2 linked regions of the Diceros bicornis minor genome follow. Each later gene encodes a partner of the first gene's protein in a complex. Links are inferred from orthologs where the notes say so. Each region holds a gene or a part of one and is shown on either strand. Other genes may lie near its edges.

Region 1 (12,212 bases):
TATCCCAAATCCCTCCAAACCCCTCCCCCCACACTCCCCTCTGAATCATCAAGACTGTTGGCTGAAGCACTCCTGGCTACAAGTTTGATAAATCAGCTGTGTTTGATCACAGGTTTCCTGGCTGATCTTTGCAGGGGAGTCGACAATTGACCGTCCTTATCTTTTGGAACTATATACTGACATCCTTAAGGATGAAACGATACAATTTTTGAGATCTGCTCCAAAATTAATTTGAAAAAAACAGAGAAAGTGGATAGGGGTAGATGAGCTTGGTCCTAAGTTGGGGAAGCTGGGTAATGGTACTTGGGAGTTCATCACACCATCCTGTCTGCTTTTGTATGTTTAAATTTTCTATAATAATAAAAGCATAAATAATAATAACACAATCTTTTCCTTCTTCTAGTTCTTAGGAGGGGATGCTCGCTAAGGTCACAGTGACTTTGCACCGTATCCATGTGAGTCCCGGGCTCGTACCCTGAAAGCATCCAGCCCGAGCTAACCTAAGTCAGGCTGGATTTTTGGCTCCAGGGAGGATGGAAGGCAGGATTGTAGATTTGAGGAAATAATTCTTTTCAGTGCCCTCCTCCAACACCCCTAATGTAGGACTAAGCATAGATACAATTAACTTTAATTTGACATTTAAATCTTGGTTAAAACGAAAAAAAGGAGTAGAGAATATCTTCCACGCTTTGCTTCTTCGGAGAATGAAGCTGTTGTGGCGATAAACTCGCGTGTGTGCTCAGGACGTGCCCCTCCGGCGTTCGGCTCTGGAGAAAGGAAGCTTCTTATTCTTTCTTAGAATCCTGGACCCTGAAATTGGCCATTAACACAGAGTGAGGTCCGATCTGAGCCTTCGAATAGTTACTCATGTAAGGTGAATTTTCTGTGCGTTTCTAATGAGGACTCAGCTCAGCCTGATGGCCCGGGAACCCATGGGGTCTTGCTGAACTCTATGGCTTGAAAGTGGCATGTTGTCGCTGTAGCTTGTATCACATGTTGTTTCAAAGTGGAGCCCAAACCCGGGAGGCCAGCGTGTGCGCAGCCGAGACTCCTTGGGGCATCCCTTTCCCGGGTACAGCTGCCCATCCGGGTACAGTTTGGGTGGACACTCTCCTAGTGGTGCGTCTCCATCCACACTGGAAAGACCTGGACATTCCATTCCAACCTGTCGGCACTGCAGCATGACCGCTGCATGCTTGAGGCAGCCATGGAATGGGCGTGTGAGGACAAGGCCAGGGGCTGTCTCGGGAGAAATTCCGAGCAGCAGAGACAATGGGTGACAGCCGTTTCGGACAAGATGAAGGCAGTTACAAAATCCTCTGTGACAGGAACCTGCAGGACACAGCCCGCCCCTCCTTGGCCTCAGCACCACCCACTTCTTTCACTCAGAACTGGCCTCACCCTGGGTCTGTCCCTCTGTGCTAGTGACTGCTTGTGACCTCACGAAGCTTGACCGAAGGCGCTCAGGGCCGTGCCTGTGACCACAAAGGGGCAGCAGGAGGGAGTTCTTTGGGGTGATGGAGTCTTTCTGTACCCTGATTGTGGTGATTGCTACACGAATCTATCCATGTGTCAAAATTCATTTTTTACTGTATGTTAATTTCACTGTATGTTAATTTTTAAGAAGTCAATTTTACTGCATGTTAATTTTTTTTTTTTTTTAAATAGGAAGATTTTTCTTATGGAGATCTGCCTGGTTACTTAAGTGTCTGATGCGCTAAGAAATCCCACCAGTTAAGTGAGTACTTGGAGTTTGGAATATGCTCCAATGCTTAATTGGTCAATAGTGTTAAAGTTTAGGGGATTTTAATCCGCCAAGTTTGTGCAAGAACAGGCCATAGCAGCTGTTTAAAAATACATATAAAGAAAACAACTCTGAGATACCCTTACACACCTATTAGAATGGCCAAAATCCAGAACACTGACATCACCAAAGGCTGCGAGGACACAGAGCAACAGGAACGCTCATTCACAGCCGGCGGGAAAGCAAAATGGTGCAGCCACTTTGGAAGACAGTTTGGCGGTTTCTTACCAAACTAGACCTACTTTCCATGCTATTCAGCAATCATACTCCTTGGTATTTACCAAAGGAGCTGAAAACTTATGTCTACACTAAGACCTGCACATGGATGTTTACAGCAGCTTTATTCATACTTGCCCAAACCTGGAAGCAACCAAGATGTTCTTCAGTCTATGAATGGATAAACAAACTGCGGACATCCAGATGATGCAGTATTATTCAGTGAGGAGGAGAAATGAACTATCAAGCCATGAAAAGACGTGGAGGAAACAAATGCACCTTACTAAGCGAAAGAAGCCAGTCTGAAAAGGCCACTACTGTATGATTGCAACTACGCGACGTTCTGGAAAAGAGAAAACCACAGAGACGGTAGAAGGATCAGGGGCTGGCGGAGAGAGAGATGGAGGGAGAGATGAACCAGAGGAGCAGGGGGTCTTCAGGGCAGTGAAACTGCTCTGTGTGGTGGAAAGTGTCCTTATGCATTTGTCCAAATCCGTGGAATGGACAACACTGAGGGTGAACCCTGATGTAGATTGTGGATTTAGTTAATAATAATGTGTCAATATTGGTTCACCAACTGTAACAAATGTCCCATGATAATGCAAGATGTTAGGAATGGGGAGGCGCGGCGCATGTGTGTTTTTTAAAAATACATGTAAAGGGACCAGCCTTGTGGGGCAGCAGTTAAGCGCACCCACTCCGCCTGGCCGGCCCGGGGTTCGCAGGCCCGGATCCTGGGCACGGACCTAACGCACCGCTTGTCAAGCCATGCTGTGGTGGCGTCCCATATAAAGCAGAGGAAGATTGCCACGGATGTTAGCCCAGGGCAAATCTTCCTCGGCAAAAAGAGGAGGATTGGCACCGAATGTTAGTTCAGGGCTGATCTTCCTCACACACACAAAAATGCATATAAAGTGTAACACAAGAACCATGAGTTTACCACTTCATTTACTGGATTTATAATTTATGATTAAGGACTTCATGAGTACAGTTTCTAAAAACCCTAACTTGACCTAACCCCGCATTGATCACGCAGGAGGAACCCAGCAGCCTCCCCATTTTCCCTCCTCCCGCCGCATCTACACCTCCTACTCCCCTGCCCACCTCCGCGCCCACCGCCTCACCCGCAGCCCGGCCTCCGCTTCCGCGCCGCCCGCCGGGGCCTCTCCAGGGGCTTCCGCGCCACCGGGCGCCTCCTCCTTCGTCCCAGCCTCGACCCTCGCGGCCCCTGGGAGCCTTCGGTCGTCGCCCCCGACCCTCCGGAGCCCTCCTCCGGTGCGCTCGGCCCCTCTGCCGCCCCCCCTTGCAGAGCTGGCCAGCCCCCAACGGCGTCCCCCGCAGGCTCTGCTCGTGCCTCCAAAGCGCGCGCGGTCGAGGCTCCGAGGCTTTGCACGCGCTGTTCCTCCGCCGGGTGTCCCTCCTCCCTCCCGGGGCCCCCCGACCCGCGCAGGCCCGCCCGGCCGAGCCCCCCAGCCCGCTGAGGGGCGCCGCCGCGGCGGAGGGGGCGGGCGGCCAGCCGGGGCGACAGCTGGGGGGGCGGCCCTGACCTTCCGCGCGATCGATGGGGCGCGGCCGGGGCTGCGCGGAGCCGGGGCGGTGCTGAGCGCCCCCGGCACCCTCCGCCCTGGGGCGCCGCTATAAAGGGGCCGCGGGGCTCGGCCGCGGCAGCAGCGCTCAGCACCCCGCGCCCACCATGGTCCCCCGGGCCCTGCTGCTGCTGCTGCTGCTGCCGCCGCTGCTACTCGGGGGCTCCGCCGCGCTCCCCGCGCCCCGCAGGTGAGCCCGCGGCCCCGGGGCCCACGCCCGCCCCCCCGGCCCACCTCGGCCCGACCCCGCGTCCGCGCCCCATCCCTGGCCTGGCCCTGATCCTGCCCGCGCGGCCCGCCATCCCCCTCCCCAGGGCCCGGCGACACTCGGATGGGATGTTCACGAGCGAGCTGAGCCGCCTGCGGGAGAGCGCGCGTCTGCAGCGGCTGCTCCAGGGCCTGGTGGGCAAGCGCAGGTGAGCGCGGAGACCTTTGGTGGGGGGCGCTCAGGTGGGACGGCCCGGCACGCGGCGCCGCTCCCAACCCCCCAACTCCCGGACTAACTCTGATTTGGGGTGGGGGCAGCGAGCATGACCCAGAGAACACCACCACCTGGAACACTTCGGCCGAGGGCCGCCTCTGCCTGCCCCGGCCGGCCGGACACGCCCACCCTGCAGGCCTGGTGAGCACCACTAGCCCCCTGCCCCCTCCGGAGGGTACCCCCCTAGACCCTCCCTCTGGGGCCTGGGGCACCCTGGGCCAACAGCAGGAAGTGGACACAGCAGGGGCCAGGGGCCGGGGGAGGTGAGGCTGAGTCAGGGTGGGTGACCAAAGGAGGCCCAGCTTCAGCAGGTGGGCACAGTCTCCAGCTTCAAGTCCCCAGCCTCTAACCGGGCTGTCTCTGCAGGATGCCCCCGAGTGCCCCCCTGGCTCAGGCCAGGTCTCCTTAGCTGCCTCCTGGATGGAGACCTGGGGTCATGGTTTCAGAGCCGGGCATCCCTGCTGCTGAGAGGACTGGATGAGGCCCTGAGGACCAAGGAGCCTGTCTCCACGCACAAGGGGAGCGGAGCCTGGACCGGGAGGGGTGGGGGGCCGGGGGGATTGCATTTGGCACCAATAAAGGAGGAATTCGGACCCTGGCCTGTGACCCCACTCTGTGTGCTTTGGGTACCGTCAGGCAGCCTCTGTGGTGCAGGGCTGTCGGGGGAGGAGGGCCCCATCCTCGGATTCTGGGACTGCAGCCACGCCCGCTGCCCTTTAAACCTGGGAAACCAGTGGGGCGCCTCACCCTCCCGTGTCCTACCTCTGACATCAGCGCCACCTCCTGTCCCATCCACTGAGCTCCCCAGGGCCCACCTGCACCCCTGTCATCCACTCACTGACATTCAGGGGCTCTGTGGGGGGACTCAGGACGTCTCCCAGCTCCTGCCCCCGGGGCCAGGTGGTCAGTGTGTGCAGCAGGTGGGGGGGGAGTTGGAGGGGGCAAGTAAGCTCAGGGCAGGCAGGAAGAGATGGCAGGGGGGTGGAGGGGTGTCCCCCAGGAGGCCACTCTGAGTGAGAGGACTCTAGTGTGTGTCTTGGCTCCCTGTCCAGGCCGTGTGGTCTCAGACGAGCGGCTTGACCACTCTGAGCCTGTGGGGCAGGGACGATGATGACACCCCTAGAGGTGCTGGGTGTGCAGGAGGCCGTGGAGGCACTGCCAGCAGGGGCAGTTGGATACCAGGAGCTTCGGGAAGGTGTTTCAGGCCCTTAGAGCCTCGATGCAAACAGGCGGGAAGGCCCCCCCATCATGGCAGCCCCTTCCCTCCCTCCTGACCCCTCCCAGTGGCCTCTCTCCAGCTGCTGGGATTTGGCAGGCCAAGGAAAGATGAGGTAGGGCAGTTGCGGGCCTGGGCCAACGAGCCTCATTGGGGTCCCTCTCTGTCAGGCACCAGAGCCCGCGGGGACCCGGGAGCCCCAGGTGTCCCCTGAAACACTGCCACCTCCATCACTGTGGCCCTGCCCAGCCCCACCAGGAGGAATCCGGCTTGTTTCCGGGACAGGCAGGGGTATCCCCAGGACACAAACAACCTTTTCTTTCCAGACCTAGATGGTGGGTGCGGGGAGAGGAGGTGAGCTGGATGGGAACACGGGGTCTGAACGTGCCCCAAGATGACTCTGGCAGAACAGCCCAGCAGAGGGGCAGCTGGGGCCGAGGGGAGGCACAGCAAACACAGGAGCCAGGGCCCAGCCCCCACCCCTCCCCCAGCCTGCCCCCTCCCCAGCCCCTCCCCCAACCCCCATCCTCCCCCAGCCCCTGCCCCTCCCCAGCCCCCTCCCAGCCCTGGGCCCTCCCCCAGCCCCTCCAGCTCCCCAGCTCCCTCCCCCAGCCCCTCGGTGCCCCAGCGGCTCTCTCTGAGCTCCTTTCTGTCTCTTGTCTTGGTGTCTGTGGGTTGAGCCCAGCTCCGGCCCGGGGAACCACCAGGCGGCCCCCTCCTGCCAGTGGGCTAGGCCTGGCCTGCGGCCGGCGGGAGCCCCCTTGGTGGAGGCCAGTCGGTCGTAAAGGATCATAAAGTGGGGCGGTGCCTGGCAGGGGCGAAGGTCGCCCAGGCAGGGACTGCGCCAGCGGCGGCCGGCTGCCCAGAGGGTCCTGGACACCGAACCAGCACAGACCCTCCTGCGGCTGTCGGCCGCCGAGATGGGGGCTTGGGCCCTGCTGCTGCCACTGCTGCTCGTGGGCACAGCCCAGGCCCAGGGTACCTTCAGGGCCGTGGCGGGTGGGGCTGGGGGGCAGGCATGGGGCTGGGCGGTACCGACCCTTCCTCTCCAACTTTCTAGTCTGCTCTGTGAACCAGACCTTCTTTGAAGTCAAGGAGAACACGAATGTCACCGAGCCCCTGGTGGATATCTACGTCCCCGACGACCAGCAGGTGACCCTCGGATCCTCGTCCACCCTCTTCGCATTTCGGATCCAAGGGACCCAGCTGTTTCTCAACGTGACTCCTGATTATGAGGTGTGGCTGGCAGGCCCCCCGTGGGGCATGCCCGTGGGGGTGGCTGGGGCGGCTGACCCCCCACGGGACCCAAGTGGACACCCACCCTCCCTCCCGGAGAAGGGCTCTCTGGGGGCCTTTGGGTGTCAGTTTGCCCAGGGGTCCTGAGGGCTCTGCGCCCCTCAGGCAGGGACTGACTGACCCCTCCGGGGCCCCAAGGCTTGGCAGAGGGCTGGCCTGAGGGGGGCGGGGCCCTGGGGTGACAAAGCTGCCTCGGCCCCCAGCTCCCTCTGGGCTTAGCATGGATGATGGGGACCCTGGGCGAGCACCTGCCCCCTCGGCCTCAGTCTCCTCACCTGTGAAGTGGGGACGCTGTGCTGTGGCCAGCCAGGCAGGTGATTCCTGACACCTGCCCACCCCCACAGGAGAACTCACTGCTGCAGGCACTCCTGGAGTGCAAAAGGGGTGACACCGTGGTGAGTCCTGCCCCCACACCCCCGACCTCCTGGGCATCCCCCCACGTCATACTCTTACCCTGTGACGTCAGAACGCTCTGGGCTTGGACCTCTGCCCTCTGCTCTGCCCGGTCCAGGGTCACTCCCTGGTGACCTCACCCAGTGGTGTATTGTCAAGTGTCACCCTGTGCTGGTGACACCCACAGTTCCTCCAGCCCAGACTCTGCCCTGAGCCCCAGACCCTCAAACCCAGCCCAGCCAACATCATACCCCCAATAGAGGCCCCCAACCCGAGGTCCCGCACGGTGGAGATGCCCCACCCTGAGGGCTAGGTCCTCACCTCCCCCCCGCCACGTCCCTCTATCAGCAAATCTGTTGGATCTGCCTCAAGCTAGACCCTCCCCACCTCCATGCCCCACTTGGGCCTTGGCCACCAGCATCTCCTTTCTGGAACCTTCCAACTAGTTCACCTGCTCCCCTCTTGGCTCCGCCTACCCCAATCCACTCTCCATATGGCAGAAGAAGATCCAGTAAAGCAAGCCGCACGTCCTGCCCAGGACTTCCTCTCATGGCTGCTTTCTCACTCCGGGTCAAAGCCAAATGCACTGCCGGGGTGGGCAAGGCCGGGCGCAGGGACCCAACGCCCAGCTTCGGCGGCCTTGTGCCCTCTCCCAGATGCGCACCTGCCTCCCTCTCTCACCATCTCCGGTCCTCACTCGCCCATGCCCTCCTCGGAGAGGCACCCTGACCGCCTGCCCCACGCACCTGCCTGCTCAGCAGCGAGCCCCGTGGGCGCCCCCACCCCCACATCACAGCACGCCACCCACAAATGTCTCAGGATGACTCTCTGAAAGATAAGGACCCTTCCTCTGAAACATCATCAGGACACTGCTGTGACACTGAGGAAACTGGGACGGCGGGCATCGCGTGACCTCCAGCGTCTGAATCCTGCCCCCAGGTCGCAGACGGGTCTTGACTGATGCTTGTTTGAACCAAGATCCAAGCAGGGTCCGCCTGATGCGGCTGCTTGAGTTTCTCTTAAGTCTTTTTCCGTCTGCTGGTCCCCTTTCTCTCTCCTTTTTCCTTTGAGATCTACGTTTGAAGAAATTGGATGGTTTTGCCGTTTTCCGCGTCTGGGATTTTGCTGGTTGTGTCCCCAGGAGCTGAGTTATTTTCTCCAGGGCACTCACCACCTTCTGTGCTTTACAAATTCCTTCTTGTTCGTTGTCTGTAACCCCTCCTGAGCAGGAGCCCCCGGGCACTCTAGCACCCAGGGTGAGCCAGGGCGGCTGGGGTGGGCACCAGGTGAGGAGGCTGACCACCTCCCGTCCCCCCAGGTGACCCAGCTGAGGGTGTTCGTGTCTGTGCTGGACGTCAATGACAATGCACCCACGTTCCCCTTTGTGGTCAGGGTGGAGAGGGTACCCGAGGTGAGTGTGAAGGAAGCCAGGGGCCGTGGCATCTGGGCTGGCACTGGGCCATCGGGAGCTGGGGTGAGGGGCCAGACGGCAGAGGGCTAGTGGCCGGATGTGTTGGCCATGGGGGTGAGGAGTGTGGCCAGACCAACCCCCCTGTCCCCCAGAACGCTAAAGTGAACACTACCGTCATCCCAGAGACGGAACTGCAGGCCGAGGACCTGGACAAAAATGACATCTTGTTTTACACCCTCGAGGAAGTGACCCCGGTCAGTGCCCCCAATCCCTGCCCCAACTCAGACCCCTCCACCTTGGGCGCCCCTGCCTCTCTGCAGCCCCCAGAGTCTCAGGCTGAGGCCTCCCCACCTCCTCAGGGTGCCAGTGTCTTCTTCTCCTTGGTGGGAGTGAACCTCCCTGCCCTGCAGCTGGACCGGACACTGGACCTTGACAGGTGGCCGAACATGACCTTCCGGCTGCTGGTGCGGGTGAGCAGGCCACACCCACCCCGAGTCCTGGACGCGCGGGTCCCCATCCGAGCTGCCGCCACCCCCAGGCTCCCAGACCTGATCCGAGGGTCTTGGCTGTTGTAGGATACACGGGAAGAGAACGTGACACCCAGCCACACGGCCACGGCCACCCTGGTCCTGGAGGTGGAGCCCATCGATCTGCGGCCCCCCTGGTTCCTGCCCTGCTCCTACACAGACTCTTACGTCTGCATCGAAGCCCAGTACCAGGGGGCTGTCCCCACCGGCTACCAACTGGTACCGGGGACAGGGAGGGCCGGCGCTGGGGGTGGGGGCTGGTGCCACCGGGCCAAATTCGGTTGTGACTGTCAAACAAATGTGGACTCTCCTTCGTAAACCAATCTCGCCCAGCCCGTGGGCGTGAGCAGTGAACAAACTCAGTGAGGGGAACAGGCCCACTGTCCTCAGGGCAGGGCCGGGGGCCCCATGAGGCGGTTGGGACACCGGGAGGACTGGATGGGCCGCGATGGTGCTCCCGAGAGGCAGCTGATCTCTGACAGGCTGGCTGTACCCGCTGGCGCCATGGGGCGCACTGAGGCAGTGGGGCCTCCAGGGCCTCCCCTTGTATGCGAGAGGCCCAGTCCGGGGCCCTGTGTGGGCTGCCTCTGGAGACGTGTTGTTCAGATCCATCCATATCCTGGGGCAAACTGATTCATGGTGACGGATCTAAGGGGCGTGATGACTGATCCTGTCGGCCACTTGGACACCTCTGGCAGGCCCGCCCAGGGGCCATCTCAGGCCTCCTTGAGGGAGAATGAGAGGGACCGAGCTGGGCCCTTGCACCAGCCCCACAGAGTCCCCTCCCATCCCCGTTCCCGCAGCTGTCTCCCCTCATCCTGCATCCAGGGCCCATCTACGCTGTGGACGGGGACAGGGCCATCAACCAGCGTATCATCTATAGCATTATAGGGGGTGAGTGGGGACCGGGTCCCCAGCTTCTCTCTCCATACAACACCTCGGCCCCATCCCCACCCCCACTGTGGGCAGAGGAAGCCCCAGGGGGACCGGCCACATGGGCAGAGCCAGCTGGGACCCTGGACCTCAGGCCTCCAGAGGGGACCAGGGCCAAATATTACCCCCGTCCTCCCAGGACACGAGGACATATTCACCATTGACGCTGACTCGGGCAACCTCACCATGACCCGGAGCGTCCCCAGCCCCAAGACCTTTCTTATGTGGGTCAAGGTAGGTGCCTTGGCCGGGTCTCCATGGGCCCCTCCTGAGCTTCAGGTTGCAGGGTTGCCCTTCGAGGGCCCACTGACCACTGCCGCCTCCCCACCCCCAGGGGGAGCAGGCAGACCAGGCCCGCTACTCGGTGACCCAGGTCACAGTGGAGGCCCTAGACGCTGCTGGGAGCCTGCCCCACTTCCCCGAGAGCCTGTACCGCGGCACCGTGGTGCTGGGCTCAGGAAGCGGCGAGTTCGTCAAGGACGCAGCCACCCCCTCCCAGGCTCTGAGGATCCAGGCCCAGGACCCCGAGTTCCCAGTAGGCACCGCCTGGCCCCTGGGTCTGCCTGGCCTCCCTTCTGTGGGTGGGTTGGGGGGATACGGGGGCAGCCTGGGTCCAGGACTCACTGGGGCCGTGTCCAGGACCTCAACTCGGCCATCACGTACCGAATCACCAACAACTCCGACTTCCGAATGGAAGGGGAGGCCGTGCTGGTGGCCAACCCACTGACGCAGGCGGGGGTCTTCTACGCAGAGGTGAGGGGCCTGTGGCATCTCTAAGGGGTGGGAGTTAAGGCGGGGCCTAGGTGAGACAAGCCCCCTTCCTGCCCCAGGTCGAGGCCACGAACACAGCGACTGGAGGCACAGCGACCACACTGGTGGAGATACAGGTGTCAGAACAGGAGCCCACCCCCACCCCCACAGGTGAGCCTCCAGGGGTCCCCGGTGATGGCTCGGGGGGGGCTTCTTGCCACAGGCATGCTGGGGGCAGAGGCAAGCTGAGCCCTGTGCCTGGCCCCAGACCCCCCAGGTCCTTCCACATCCCCAGAGGCTGGAGGAACAGCTGGGCCCTCAAGCAGCACCACTTCAGAAACCCCCAGGCCCTCCGGGCCCTCTCAGGGACCCTCCACGACCAGCGCTGGGGGGGACACTGGCCCACACTCCCCCCCAGGCACAACTCTGAGGCCGCCTGCCTCGACCACGCCTGGGGGGCCCCCCAGTGCGGGAACCAGCACCTCCCCTCCATCAGCCTCACCCAGCGGGGGCTCAGCACAGACTCAGAAGCCAGGAATCTCGCAGCCAACAGCCCCTGGGCTCAGCAGGACCCCCCAGCCCTCAGGTAGCACCCCCATTTGCCCTAGAGTCACCCTCATGCTCCCTGACTCATGACTTGGGTGGTCCTGGGAGTCACCGGAGGGCAGGGTCCGCCCCAGGTTGGCCCAGAATGACCATGAGATCCCAAGACGGGGTCTGCTCTTTCTGGGCAGAGACAGACAGGTCCTGGGGGCCCTGAGGAGGTAAACCGGGAAAGGTGAGTGGAGGGCAGGGCAGAGGCCACACGTTGGCTTCAGCGAACCCCACACTTCCCAGGGCCGTCCACTCCACCGGCATCAGTGCTGCCCTCATCTCCCTTCCTGTGGTGTTGGACCCCTTCCTCCCACCTGGGGCTGGGGGGCACTGACCCCCACCCCCCTCCTTCCCTTCAGCAGTCTGGCCTCCCTGGGGGACCCTGGGAATACAGCTCCTTGGGGGGGCGTCAGTACTGCCCACTCTCCAGAACCCTCACTCCGGGAGGCGGCCAGGCTGGCTTCTACTCGGGGAGTTCTGAGCTGGTACAGGCTGAGCTGGTGAGCGCTTGTAGTGCCGACAGCAAGTGGGCAGTGGTGTCACCAGCAGGCACGCCCGGGATTGGAGGAGGCAGCACCTCCACGGGGGGTGTCGGGCCGGATGGCAGCCACGCTGGGGACCGGCGCTTCTCGACAGCGGAGATGGCAGCCGTGGGCGGTGTGCTGGGCGCGCTGCTGCTGCTAGCTCTGATCGCCCTCACCATCCTCGGCTACAAGCACTACGGCCACCTATGCAAGTCCTGTGCTAGCAAAGCTCTGGTGAGGCCCCGGGCGGCTGGACAGCACAGGAGAGGGACAGACGAGAGACAGAAGAGGAGACGGATAGACAGACAGAGGTGGAGAAAGACCAAGAGACAGGGACGTGAGAGTGAGAACAGAGAGCAACGGAAAGATGGAGTGGAGGACGGAGGAAGAGGGTAGATGGAGGGAAGGGGTAGATGGAGAGAGGGGTAGATAGAGGGAGGAGCAGATGGAAGGCGCCAGGAGATGCAGGAAGGGGGGAGAT
Region 2 (12,544 bases), on another chromosome or scaffold:
ACAGGTCCCGTACACTGGTGCATAAACCTTCAAGGTAGGAATAAGAAAAGGAAATGAAGGTTCCTTGAGGTGAATTTCCCCCCAGTTGATAGCTATGAAGTAGAAAGCTCTATGGGCTGAATGTGCCCCCTCCCCCCAACTCATGTTGAAATCCTAATCCTCAGTACCTCAGAATGTAACCCTAATTGGAGTTAGGGTCTTTACAGAGGTGATTAACTTAAAATGAGGTTATTAGGGTGGGCCCTAATAGAGTATTACTAGTGTCCTTATAAGAAGAGGAAATTTGGACATAGACATATACAGAGGGAAGACAATGTAAAGACCAGGAGGAAGATGGCCTTTTACAGCCAAGGAGAGAGGCCTGGAACAGATCGTTCCCTCACGGCCCTCAGAAGAAACCAACCCTGCCGACACCTTGAACTCGGACTTCGAGCTTCCAGAACTGTGAGGAAGTTGTAAATTTCTGTTGTTTAAGCCACGTAGTTTGAGGTACTTGGTTATGGCAGCCCTAGAAAATGAAAACAAATTCCCAGGTTGAAATACAACTCTGTGTGACTATAAACTATATATTCTCTTTTCTGTACCATGATAAGGGCTAAGACCATGAAAACCCAGATCCCAGCTGTTGTTGTTGTTGTTATTGAGAAAAAAAATTGAAGAGAAGAAGGCTTAAGAAAGGGCAGTAATTACACATCTACGCTTGCACTAAAGAAGGGAGAGACTTTCTACCTTTCTGCTACTAGTACTACAATTTCTACTTTACTTGTACTTTTAGAACTACTACTGATTTACATTCATTGAGTACTGACTACGCACCACACATTGTGCTAAGCATTTTACAAATATTAACTTAGTAATTACTTGCAATGTCCCTGTGAATAATAACTGGAAAAGTATTCTTTTCATTTTACTGATGAGGAAACCGAGACTCAGAAAGAAGTAATTTGCCCACATAAACGGCAGGGTCTGATTTCTGGTTTAATATCTGTCAGTCTCTGACTTAAGAACCTGTGTTCTGAACGATTACTGTACTATGGCTTGATTTCAACACAATTGGCATTCACATTCACATTTGCCTGTCTTTCCAGTCCAACTATCAGCTTTGAGAGAGTTGAATAGTTTTGATGGTATTTGGTGATCTGCTAAAGGGTGCTCTAACACACCTCCCTTGTGGCAAATTCTGCCATCTTGAAACAAAATGGCAGCTGGTATAGGTTTTCCAGTCATCATTATTCCTGCAGTTTTTATAGAACTTAAGCTTTGGGTGAGGACTCAGGTCATGTGATTATATTGGTTGAAGCCTTCAGTTCACAGAACCAGTAACTAATTAGCAAGGGGAAAAGGCCTAAGAAAAAAGGAAATTTGTCCAGCTAACAAAGCCAGCTGATTCAAGTGTAGAATTTAAGTTCATAGCCCCTATTCAGACTATCCAGTGTTCACATTTTAAAGAATTTCTTTTTGGAAACCTTTATAAAACTTTCCACTATTACAACACCATCTGGGATTTAGCATTTATAAAATGTGCAGTTAAGAGATGCCAAGAGATTTCTCATGAAAACCAGATGGTACAATAACAGCTCTGTCTATTTTTCTGGCAGAAAAAATAGGGCTTTGAATGGCTTGAAACTTATATGAATAAATTAAGCCCAATCCATACATCAGGGACACTACAATTTCAATAGTCAACTCACCCACCTAAATATTTTCATAAATGTTTTCATTTGGAGAAGAGAAAACAAAAGGGCAGACAATGGTTCCTTTGATTGCTTCATGTTTGTATTTAACAGTGTCTAAGGAAAACAACACCAATGACCTTCAGTGTGGGAAAGAAAGTTTCTTTGTATTTTAAGAGTGATATATATGTTTAAATGAGAAACAGGGGATCGAAATCTCTTTTGAATAGGAAAAATCGCCATCAAATAGTTTGAAGAGTTTTATTACTGTGCTAAAGAGAAAAAAATTCATGTCTAAGTGACATTTTCTAGATAATACATTTGAAAATGTCTTTACCTCAACAGACATGTTTCTCATAAAGCCAAGCTCAGCAAACATAGCAGTAGTGTGTTAACAATGCCTTGTTCTGCCCTCGCCTGATTCCTGTAAGTTTTCTGTGTAACAACAGGACTTTTGTAATCGCTTTAACTTCCTTTGCTTTCTGTTATTGCCTTTATTTTCATTAAAATTCATAATAAGATACTCATTAGATGAAGTAATCTTGTTAAAAGCAAATGTTCTTCTTGGATCTTTTCTTTTTTCTTATTATTTGAAAATGTGCTTCCCTACCATACAAGTGAATTTCCTCTGTAATTAGACATGAATAGCTTTGGAGAACAAATACTGTCTGCTTTTGAAAGCCAGAGCTCTTGGAGTGCAGGGGGCAATCTCATTAATAAAAATATGTGTTTCTGGGCTGCAAAAGCTGTTGAATTTCTTTCCCAATTAGCAGTGAAGGGTTTTTCAGAACAAAAAGGGAGCAGTTTGGTTTCTACTTTGCTGGCATTGGTTTTTCTTGGGGTAGACTGGAAGTATCAACTACCGCTAATCTTTGTCCCTTCTTTTCCTCTCTCTGAGAAAGAAACACATAGGACTTTGTTTATTATAGATAGGTCAGAGTCCTAGGTAAATTCTCCATCCAAGTGCTACTTTCTCCCAGCCAGGATAGACTCCATGGTAGATGGGACACCTGTTTAGACCACCCAGCTGTCAGGTAGCTGCTATTGAGGCAGAAGAGGCCGAAAAATTATAAACACAACAATGAAGAGTTGAAAATGCCATTGCTCTATGGGGAGGAGGAGACTCATTGGTGGGAGGATCTTTCCAAGTGCTGCCTCTGGGGGCTGATTAACCCTGTTTTCTCCGGGTCATTGGCAAAAAGAAATGGTGTCTGGGCAGAAGGGCCTCTCAAAGTGAAGTAGTTAAATATTACCTGATGTGCCAGGGAATAAGTTGAGTTTCTAGAGTTTTAGGAAAACAAAGAAGGGAAAGAAGCTTACCCCTCTGAACCTAAGTGGCAGCCAGAGGGACAAAGAAATCACTGGCAGGATGTTTCCCTAAGGCTATACGAATATTACAGGAATGTAGGGAGGTGTGGGGGGCAGGGTTGGTTCCAAAAGAAGGTTGATGAGGGCCTTGACTTGCTAAGTAATAGAACAATCCAGGGGAGGGTCTTTGCTCCTTAAGTCTGATCTTCAAAGTCTCTCCACTATCGTGCATGACAGATATTCTTCTCTGACCTTCCAAGACTCCAGCAGCATGCTGTTGGAACAGACTCAAATACTTGTTTCCGTAAGACCAATACAGTCAGAACATACAGTCAAAATCCACAATTGCCCCACAATTTTCCAGACTCCTCACAAGGAACTAGTGTCTACATTATATGCAAATCTGTGTTAGTTATTTTCATTAATCTCTGCCCTCAATATCTCCTGCCAATTTTGCTTCCTTTGGGCTTCGAGGAATAAGAAAATACACCAATTATCGCGCTATAGTGCTCACTCTCTCTCTTTCTCCTCCCTAAGCCACAATCGCACTACTTCCAGTTTGTAAAACCATACTTTATAGTTTGTAAGGAATTTTATCTCATTCATCTTCACTACTGTAAGCTTAGGTGATGATGACATGATCATAAGCAATATCCCCCAATTTTATTCACAAAGAAATGGAGACTCAAATAGATGGAGTAACTTGCCCCAGATCATATGGACTCTAGGTCTTCTAGCTCCAAGTTCAATCCTCTTTCTCAACCTCTTCTTGAAGGGATGGGGTAGGGAGGATCTTCAAATTCAGAAGGATTTGTTTCTGCTTCTCCTCTCCTTCCCCATCCATTCTTATTTCAAGGAAGAAGTTTTCTCAAGGAAATGGCCAGAGGATGTCAGGATCCTTACCATTAAGAAAAAAAAAAAAGTTCAGATGTTTTACCATTTCACAGGAGAGTTTAAATCTAAGTCGTAAGTACCACTGGAGTTGAGAAACTCCTCGTTCTCCTCCTTGTCCTCCATTTCCAACCCTTCTTCCTCTTCTCTATAATTGCTCTGTCCTCCTTCTCCTTTGCTTCCATCCTCATCCCTATCATTCTCTTTCCCCTCATCACTGCTATCGTTATCATTATCATCACCACCATCATCTTCATCCAGTAGAAGACTCCTTGTCTGACACTTGGCATTCTACTACAATTAATCCATCTTTGAGAAGCCCTCTCTCAAGTTATATATGATTTTCTGTTTAAGAGTGCATTAATGAATGCAACTGTGTCTAAATTAAAGTGGCTTTTTAAAAAATTAATTGAGGAAGAATGTTACCTTGTTCTCAAAGTACCCACAATGATGTTTGGATATTTTACTCTCTTTGGGCTAAAAAAAATTTTTTTTTTGCCACTAAATAATGCTTCCCTCCGAGTTGTTTCTATAGCTTCTACTGGTGTTTTCATAGAAACCAGGAAAAGGAACAAACATTGATCCTTGGAGCTAATTTTTTGAGGAAACTGCAAATGGAAGCCTTGTACTTTTTCAGAATGGGCAAATAATTTATCTTGGAATAAAGACTTGGAAAAAAAGAGATAATAGGAATAAACAGTTAAAGACTTTGAAAATAGACCTTCCTCACATCAATTCTGTGGAATATTATCCAAACATATTAAGGATTTTGTAACAATATGGGAAATGTTCGTGGTAGACTAAAGAGAGGAAAAGACACAATATAAAATGGTATGTATTTGTGATGAAAACTATGTAAAAAATACACCACAAGAGACTATATAAATAGTGCATCAGTTGTGTAAGGGTGATGGGTTCTAATTTTATTGCAATGCCTTCAGAGAACATGGTCTGCATGAAACCTATTTGTTGAGGCCTGCACTAACCGGTTCTATTAGGTGGATAATTTTTATAAATCTTCTCTGTGTGTTTGCAAAGAGCATGCATTTTCTATTGAGTGCAGGGTTCTGTATAGGATTGTTAGATCAAACTTTTTAATTGTGTTCAAATCTTTTATATCTTTACTAATCTTTAGTCTCATTGACATATAACATTTAGGGGGTATATTAAAATCTCCCACTATGATTGTGGATTTGTTCTTTCTCTTTAAATTCTATTAATTTTTGTTTTCTCTATTTTGGGGCTATGTATTAGGTATATAAAAGTTTAGGACTATCATATTTTCTTGATGAATTTTTCCTTTCATCATTATGTATGATCTCTATTCCCAGTAATTTTTTTTGGCTTAAACTATATTTTGGTATAAATATAGCTATACCAATTTTTTGTTAGTATTTGCTCAATATAACCTTTCCTTTTTTTTTTTTTTGTTGGGGAAGATTGGCTCTGAGCTAACACCTGTTGCCAATCTTCCTCTTTTTGCTTGAAGAGGAGTGGCCCTGAGCTAACGTCTATGCCCGTATTTCTCTATTTTGTTTGTGGGTTGCTGCCACAGCATGGCTTGATGAGCGGTGAAGGTCTGCACCTGGGATCCAAACCTGGGCTGCCAAAGCAGAGCATGCTGAACTTAACCATTACGCCACCGGGCTGGCCCCCAACCTTTCCATTTTTTGCTTTCAGTCTTTCTGCAATTTTATATTTTAGATGTGTCCATTGTAAATAAGACATGGCTGAGTCTTCTAACTGGTAAGTTTGGTCCATTTACATTTATTTTGATTACAGATAGATTTGGACCATGTTTTTGGTCTTATATTGTGATCTTTATTTACACTAATTTTTCCATGCTGTTCCTTCTTTACTTAAGGTGAAAGTTTAAATTATTGATTTGAGATCTTTCTTCTTTTCTAATACAGGCATTAAAAACTGCAAATTTCCCTCCTCAGTTCTGTTTTAACTGTATCCTATAAATTTTGATATGTTGTGTTTTCATTCAGTTCAGAAGGATTTGTATCCAGAATATATAAAGAACTTTTATAACTCAATAATATGAAGACAACCCAGTGAAAAGGTGGGCAAAGAATTTAAATACAAGATAGAATGGCTAATAAGCACATGAAAATGTGCTTGACAGCATTAGTCATTAGGGAAATGCAAATTAAAACCACAATGATATCACTTCACACCCACTAGGATGGCCATAAGCAAAAAAATAGACAACAAAGGCTGCAAGGATTTGGAGAAATTTGAACCATCATACATTGCTGATGGGAATATAAAATGGTACAGCCACTTTGGAAAACAGTTTGGCAGTTTCTTAAAAAGTTAAATATAGGGGCCGGCCCAGTGGCACAATGGGTTAAGTGCGTGTGCTCTGCTGCGGCAGCCCAGGGTTCGCTGGTTTGGATCCTGGCGCATACCGACTCACCGCTTGTCAAGCCATGCTGTGGTGGCGTCCCATATAAAGTGGAGGAAGATGGGCATGGATGTTAGCCCAGGGCCAGTCTTCCTCAGCAAAATAAGAGAGGAGGATTGGCAGATGTTAACTCAGGGCCGATCTTCCTCAAAAAAAAAAAAAGTTAAATATAAATTGCCATACAACCCAGCAATTCCACTCTTTGGTATATTCCCAAAAGACATGAAAATATATGTCCACACAAAGACTTGTATGTGAATGTTCATAGCAGCATTATTCATAAAACTAAACTCTGGAAACAATTCAAATGTCCATCAACTGTTGAGTGAATAAAGAAAATTTGGTATATTAGCATAGTAGAATATTATTCAGCAATAAAAAGGAAGTACTGTTACTTGCTATAGCATGGATGAACCTCAAAAAATTATGTGAGACTGAAAAAAAGCTAGACACAAAAGACTATATATTATATGATTCCATTTATATGAAATGCCCATAGAAAGCAAATCTGTAGAGATAGACAGCAGATTAGTGGTTTCCTGGAGTTGGGAGTGGGAATGGGGTTTGACTATAAATGACCATGAGGGATATTTTTGGCGTGATAGATATGTCTAAAATGGAATTATGGTGATGGTTACACAACTCTGTAAATTTACTAATGATCATTGAATTGCACACTTAAAATGGGTGAATTTTATAGTATGTAAATTATACCTTAAAAAAGGCAGTTAAAAAAACAAACCTCCCCAGTGAACTAGACTAGTTTTGAATTGTTTGGAAATTATTTTCTACATTCTGTGCCTAAATGACCAATATTATACTCAAGACTTGTTAATGGACATTAAAAAATTAAATGTGCCTCAAAACACTCAAGATGAACACAGCAGTCCTCAATATTCAATGTCACGGCCATTCCAGAAAGAAAAGGTCCAAGTTCAGTGCTGTGAACCTTTCTGGCTGCCATCCATGGAGGGAGGCTGGAATGAGCTTTGCCCTGGGGTGACACTCTTCCTTGTCACTGATTAACCAGCTTCGTAGGAAGGCTGCTCCACTAACATCCTGCTCTGCTCAGAGAGTGATATCTGGCCGAGCAGGAAAAAATGTCCACTCACTACCACCAAGCTGCTAGTGATAGCTACCTGGAACTTCTAAAAGAGGCTACCAAGAGAGATCTGAATCTTTCTGATGAAGATGGCATGACTCCCACACTACTGGCAGCCTACCATGGGAACTTGGAAGCCCTAGAAATAATCTGCAGCAGAGGGTAAGTTCAACCTGAGGGTTTCAGTTGGAAACTGTTTATAGTAGGATTCGGCAGACAGCAGCAAGAGGCAGGGAAGTCAATGAACATACTTGGCCTTCTTTCTAGACTGTCTAAGTAGTTGTCTTTTTAGAAAGAGGGAGAAAATCACCTAGAGATTCTCTCTTTTCCTAGTGAAAACTGGCACCATGGGGGTGGCTCATCCGGTATGAGCCACACGCAGAGAGATCCTGAACTCTAAGGCACTGAGGGGAAGATATTTTAATCCTGTGCCTTTAAAGATCTTTTCTATGAAATGTAAATGGTTGACTCCTTAAAAACAGATCTCTGTTCTACTTGGTTTTAAGATGTCAACCTTGATTGGAACAAATGATGTGTTTTTATTTTATTTTTTTCATCTATGCCATTAAAATCCCACAGCCTTTTATTAATACTCAATCTTAGAACAAGCCCATGATTCTTAGATGAAGTTGCTGGCTTTACAAGCTGTGAAAGGAACCTTCAGCCTGTCTTAACTTTATTACCTCTCTGGCTGTTAGATACATACATGCACACACATTCCTCCTAAATTCTAATGCAGGAATTAGCTAGCTCTTTTCTTCTGCTTGTTACTGAGGGGGCTAGGCAGCATTGGCAACTAGAACCTAAGAGAGGTAAAGAAAGAAAAAAAGAAAATGTAAATAAAGGTGCCAAGTGAATTTATTTCAATTCAATACACCTTTATTTATACATATATATAAATATACATATTTATATATATATCTGCTACGTGCCAGCCATTTTGCTAGCCACTGGGGATGCTATGATCAACAAAAGAGACACAATTCCGTCCTCATGGTGATCAGATTTAAGAGAGGAAGGCAGAAATTATATGTCATGTATGATGTGTGTTACAAAGGGAGAAAGAGAGGACACTAAATAAACAACCCAAGCATCTAGGCAGCTATCCCGATCTAAGGGGTGAGGGAAGGCTTTCCAGAGAGTTTAAGCTGGGATGTGAAAAGTGAGAAGGAGTTGGCCAGATGAAGATGGAGGGAAGGGTGTTTCCCCTAAGTGAGAGCACTGTGCATTCTGGGCACTGAAGAAGTTGGGTGTGGCTGGATGTGGCTTGAGTGGCAAGAGGTCAAGTTGTAAGAGACAAGACCAGATCACAAGAGCCTTGTAAACTCTATTAAGGAGTTGAACTTTATCCTAAGGGCATGGGAAGCTATTGTCATGGGTTTACACAGGGGAGCTGCCTGGTAAATTTGCGTTTACAAAATTTGCTCAGGCAGCTATATAGCAGTCAGAGAAAACGTTTGGGGGCTATTTTAATGGTTGAGATGAGAGATGAACTGGACTTGGGTAGTGGCAGTGGGAATGGAGAGATGTGGATGGATTTGAGTGGCAGTTCAGATGTAGGAGTGATTATGATTGACTGGATGTTGGGGTGGGCAGATAAAGAAAGAGGAGGATCCAGGCCTCAGCTTCTGGCTTCGACAGCTTGTCACTGTTGGCACCCTTTACTGAAGTGGGGGGCACTTTAGGAAGACCCAAAGGTGGAGAGATTTCCTGAGTTGAGAACTGAATGAGGAAGTGAGTGGCGGTTGATGTTCTCCATTCCTTTTGCCTGATTTGACTTCCTTTTCACAGATACCTCCTTCTATCCCCACCCCCATCAGTCAGCCTTCTCCTGATTGTAATATTGTGCATGTCTCCCCTTTTCCAAAACTTTCTTCATCCACTCAAAGTATACCGCCTCTGACCAAGTGCAAGATATCAGGTACTTCACAACCAATGCAAGCCCTTGCTCCCTTTGAGGTCCAATTTAAATGGCAACGCCTAGACATTTTTTCTCTCTCTGTCTCCTTTGTATGCCGGAAACATTTTCTTACACTTAGTGTTCTGCTGGTCTTTATGACAAAAGTAACATAAGCTGAGCCCAGAAAATTAAATCTTATGTAGGCACACAAATTATAAAGAAAAAATGTCCTATAATGCCATACTGTTAACATTTGTATGTTTTGTATATATAATATATATAGTGTGTATAAATATATAAATATTACATATATATTTATACACACACAAAAAGATGGTATCCTAAGTAGGCAATTTGGTAGCATGCTGTTTTTTTTTTTAACCACTCAATACATCATGAACATTGTTACATGTCAACACATATTCTTTTATAATTTAATTTTCAGGAACTTCTTACTATTCTAGTCAATATATATATAGTTCTTAGTCAATCTCTCTTTTGCACAAATAATTTCTTTCCTGTAATTTAAACTGTGCTGTGATGAATATTTTTATACATAAATCTTTGCTCACATTTTCTTGAGGATAAATTCTCCAAAGTGAAATTTCTGGATCAATTGGCATGAGCACTTTTGCGTATGTATTGACAACTTGCCCTTCAGATAGTGAGTACCCATTTTTGTCAGTACTAAATAAAGGTCCAATATCAGTGCGGTTTTAATGTTCTTTTCTTTGGTTACTAGTGAGGTTGAAAATTCTTTTCATGCTTAGTGACCATTGTATTTTCACGTTTGTGAACTGTGTATTTATAGCCTTGTCCCACTTTTACATTGGGATCTTCAACATTTCTCGTTGATTTATAAAAACATGTTTTTTAAAGTTAGAATATAAGCTTTTTCTCATTATATTTCAAATATTTTCACAATTCGTGGTTAATATTTTTGACAATCTATATTTTAAAAATGAGAATATAAATATATTTAAGTATATATTTTTAAGTGTATATATTTTTATACTTAAGCCTGTCAATTTTACTATATAATTCTAACTTTGAGGTCATGCCTAAATATTGACTGATATTTTCTTTAGTACTTTTTTAGTTTCATTTTTTATTTTAAATACTTAATTCATATATCATTTATTTTGATTTAAGGTCTGAGGTTATGATCTACTATACATTCTCCAAGTGGTTAGTCATTTGTCCCAACACAATTTGTTACATAGTCCGCTCTTTTCCCATTTATCTGACATAGTAAAGTAATTTTTCTCAATGTAATATCAAAATCCAGTCCGCTAAGTTATATTTATTATACATTGGCTATGGGCACAAAATCCTTCTAACCCTGCGCTTTCTAGTCCTTCCTTCTCAACTTTTGTCTTCTGATTCTAGTACATCCCGGATTTTGTTTCCTTCTTTCCAGAAGCATTTAAGATGTGTTACATTAAGTTGGCCTGGTGTAGGCTGAAAAAAAATGTATTGTGAGGGTTTTCCTAGGTCATCTCTCATTTTGACCACAGCCAATCTTTAGGAATTGTGTGAGATCAAATTGCCAATTAGAGTGAAGGGAATTAAAAAGGGAAACACAGTAAAAATTGAATCTAGAAACTAATCAATTGTTGAGGTCCATTCCAGTCTGATGATTGCAGTGTTTATCAGTCACTACCTGATTGAGACAATGAATCATGTGGTAATGATTAATATCCAAACTCTGGCTTTGTTAAAAACTGTTTTTCTATTTTAAACTTAAATATGAAAGCATTTACTTTGTGTTATCCTACACTGGGAAGATGCCCCCAATTACACAAAATTTCATTTTGCCTTTAATGTGTGCATGATATTTAAAATTTTCTTTCATTTTCTAAAATGGAAATAAATTTTCTTCCTCCCTGATTCTTAAAGGAAAAGTAATACTTATTGTTACATTTCATATCATATTGGAAAGATATATTTAATAAAGTAAAAATCACACCAATTCTTCCAGTCCTTAACATTTGGGTATATATCCTTCCAGCCTTTTTCCTTTGAGAACATGCACACACATGTACATTTTTACTCCTTAAAAAGACAATCATATTATATAAACTGCTCTGAAACCTGCTTCTAATTATTTAACAATATATCATGGACCACTTGTGCTTAAAGGTAGAGATCCATGCCACTATTATTTTTTTTTTTTTTTGATTTTTATTGATATTTTAATGGTTTCTAACATTGTGAAATTTTGGGTTGTACATTTTTGTTTGTCCATCACCCCATATATGACTCCCTTCACCCCTTGTGCCCACCCCCCACCCCCACTTCCCGGGTAACCACAGTCCAGTTTTCTCTGTCCATGTGTTGGTTCATATTCCACATATGAGTGAGATCATACAGTGTTTGTCTTTCTCTTTCTGGCTTATTTCACTTAACCTAATACACTCCAGGCCCATCCATGTTGTTGCAAATGGGACGATTTTGTCTTTTTTTATGGCTGAGTAGTATTCCATTGTATATATATACCACATTTTCTTAATCCAATCGTCAGTCGAGGGACACTTAGGTTGCTTCCACTTCTTGGCTATGGTGAATAATGCTGCAATGAACATAGGGGTGCATAAGCCTCTTTGGATTGTTGATTTCAGGTGCGTTGGATAGATTCCCAGTAGTGGGATGGCTGGATCATAGGGCATCTCTATTTTTAATTCTTTGAGGAATCTCCATACCGTTTTCCATAGAGGCTGCACCAATTTGCATTCCCACCAGCTGTGTATGAGGGTTCCTGTTTCTCCACATCCTCTCCAACATTTGTTGTTTTTTGTCTTGGTGATTATAGCCATTCTAACGGGCATGAGGTGGTATCTTAGTGTTGTTTTGATTTGCATTTCCCTGATGATTAGTGATGTTGAGCATCTTTTCATGTGCCTATTGGCCATCTGTATATCTTCCTTGGAGAAGTGTCTGTTCATTTCCTCTGCCCATTTTTTGATCGGGTTGTTTGTTTTTTTGTTGTTCAATTGTGTGAGTTCTTTATGTATTATGGAGATCAACCCCTTGTCAGATGTATGTTTTGCAAATATTCTCTCCCAGCTGGTTGGTTGTTTGTTCATCTTGATTCTGATTTCATTTGTCTTATAAAAGCTCTTTAGTCTGATAAAGTCCCACTTGTTTATTTTTTCTTTAGTTTCCCTAGTCTGGGTAGGCATGTCATCCGAAAAGATTCCTTTAAACCCAATGTCAAGTAGTGTGTTGCCTATATTTTCTTCTATGAGTTTTATAGT

The links.
Region 2: CDHR5 (region 1) and ANKS4B share a complex: the UniProt entries of both Homo sapiens proteins name them as parts of the IMAC/intermicrovillar adhesion complex. The link is inferred for Diceros bicornis minor from reciprocal best matches to the Homo sapiens genes CDHR5 and ANKS4B.

What each region holds. Positions count from the first base shown.
Region 1 is NC_080770.1:1,356,355-1,368,566, forward strand, and holds the start of CDHR5 (cadherin-related family member 5), read left to right. Parts: upstream 1-6,046; 5' UTR 6,047-6,223; coding exon 6,224-6,281; intron 6,282-6,363; coding exon 6,364-6,539; intron 6,540-6,943; coding exon 6,944-6,994; intron 6,995-8,310; coding exon 8,311-8,403; intron 8,404-8,555; coding exon 8,556-8,657; intron 8,658-8,762; coding exon 8,763-8,873; intron 8,874-8,978; coding exon 8,979-9,149; intron 9,150-9,733; coding exon 9,734-9,824; intron 9,825-10,002; coding exon 10,003-10,097; intron 10,098-10,197; coding exon 10,198-10,398; intron 10,399-10,502; coding exon 10,503-10,616; intron 10,617-10,693; coding exon 10,694-10,784; intron 10,785-10,881; coding exon 10,882-11,199; intron 11,200-11,756; coding exon 11,757-11,965; intron 11,966-12,212. UniProt on the Homo sapiens protein: Intermicrovillar adhesion molecule that forms, via its extracellular domain, calcium-dependent heterophilic complexes with CDHR2 on adjacent microvilli. Thereby, controls the packing of microvilli at the apical membrane of epithelial cells.
Region 2 is NC_080765.1:30,103,694-30,116,237, forward strand, and holds the start of ANKS4B (ankyrin repeat and SAM domain-containing protein 4B), read left to right. Parts: upstream 1-7,385; coding exon 7,386-7,549; intron 7,550-12,544. UniProt on the Homo sapiens protein: As part of the intermicrovillar adhesion complex/IMAC plays a role in epithelial brush border differentiation, controlling microvilli organization and length. Plays a role in assembly of the complex.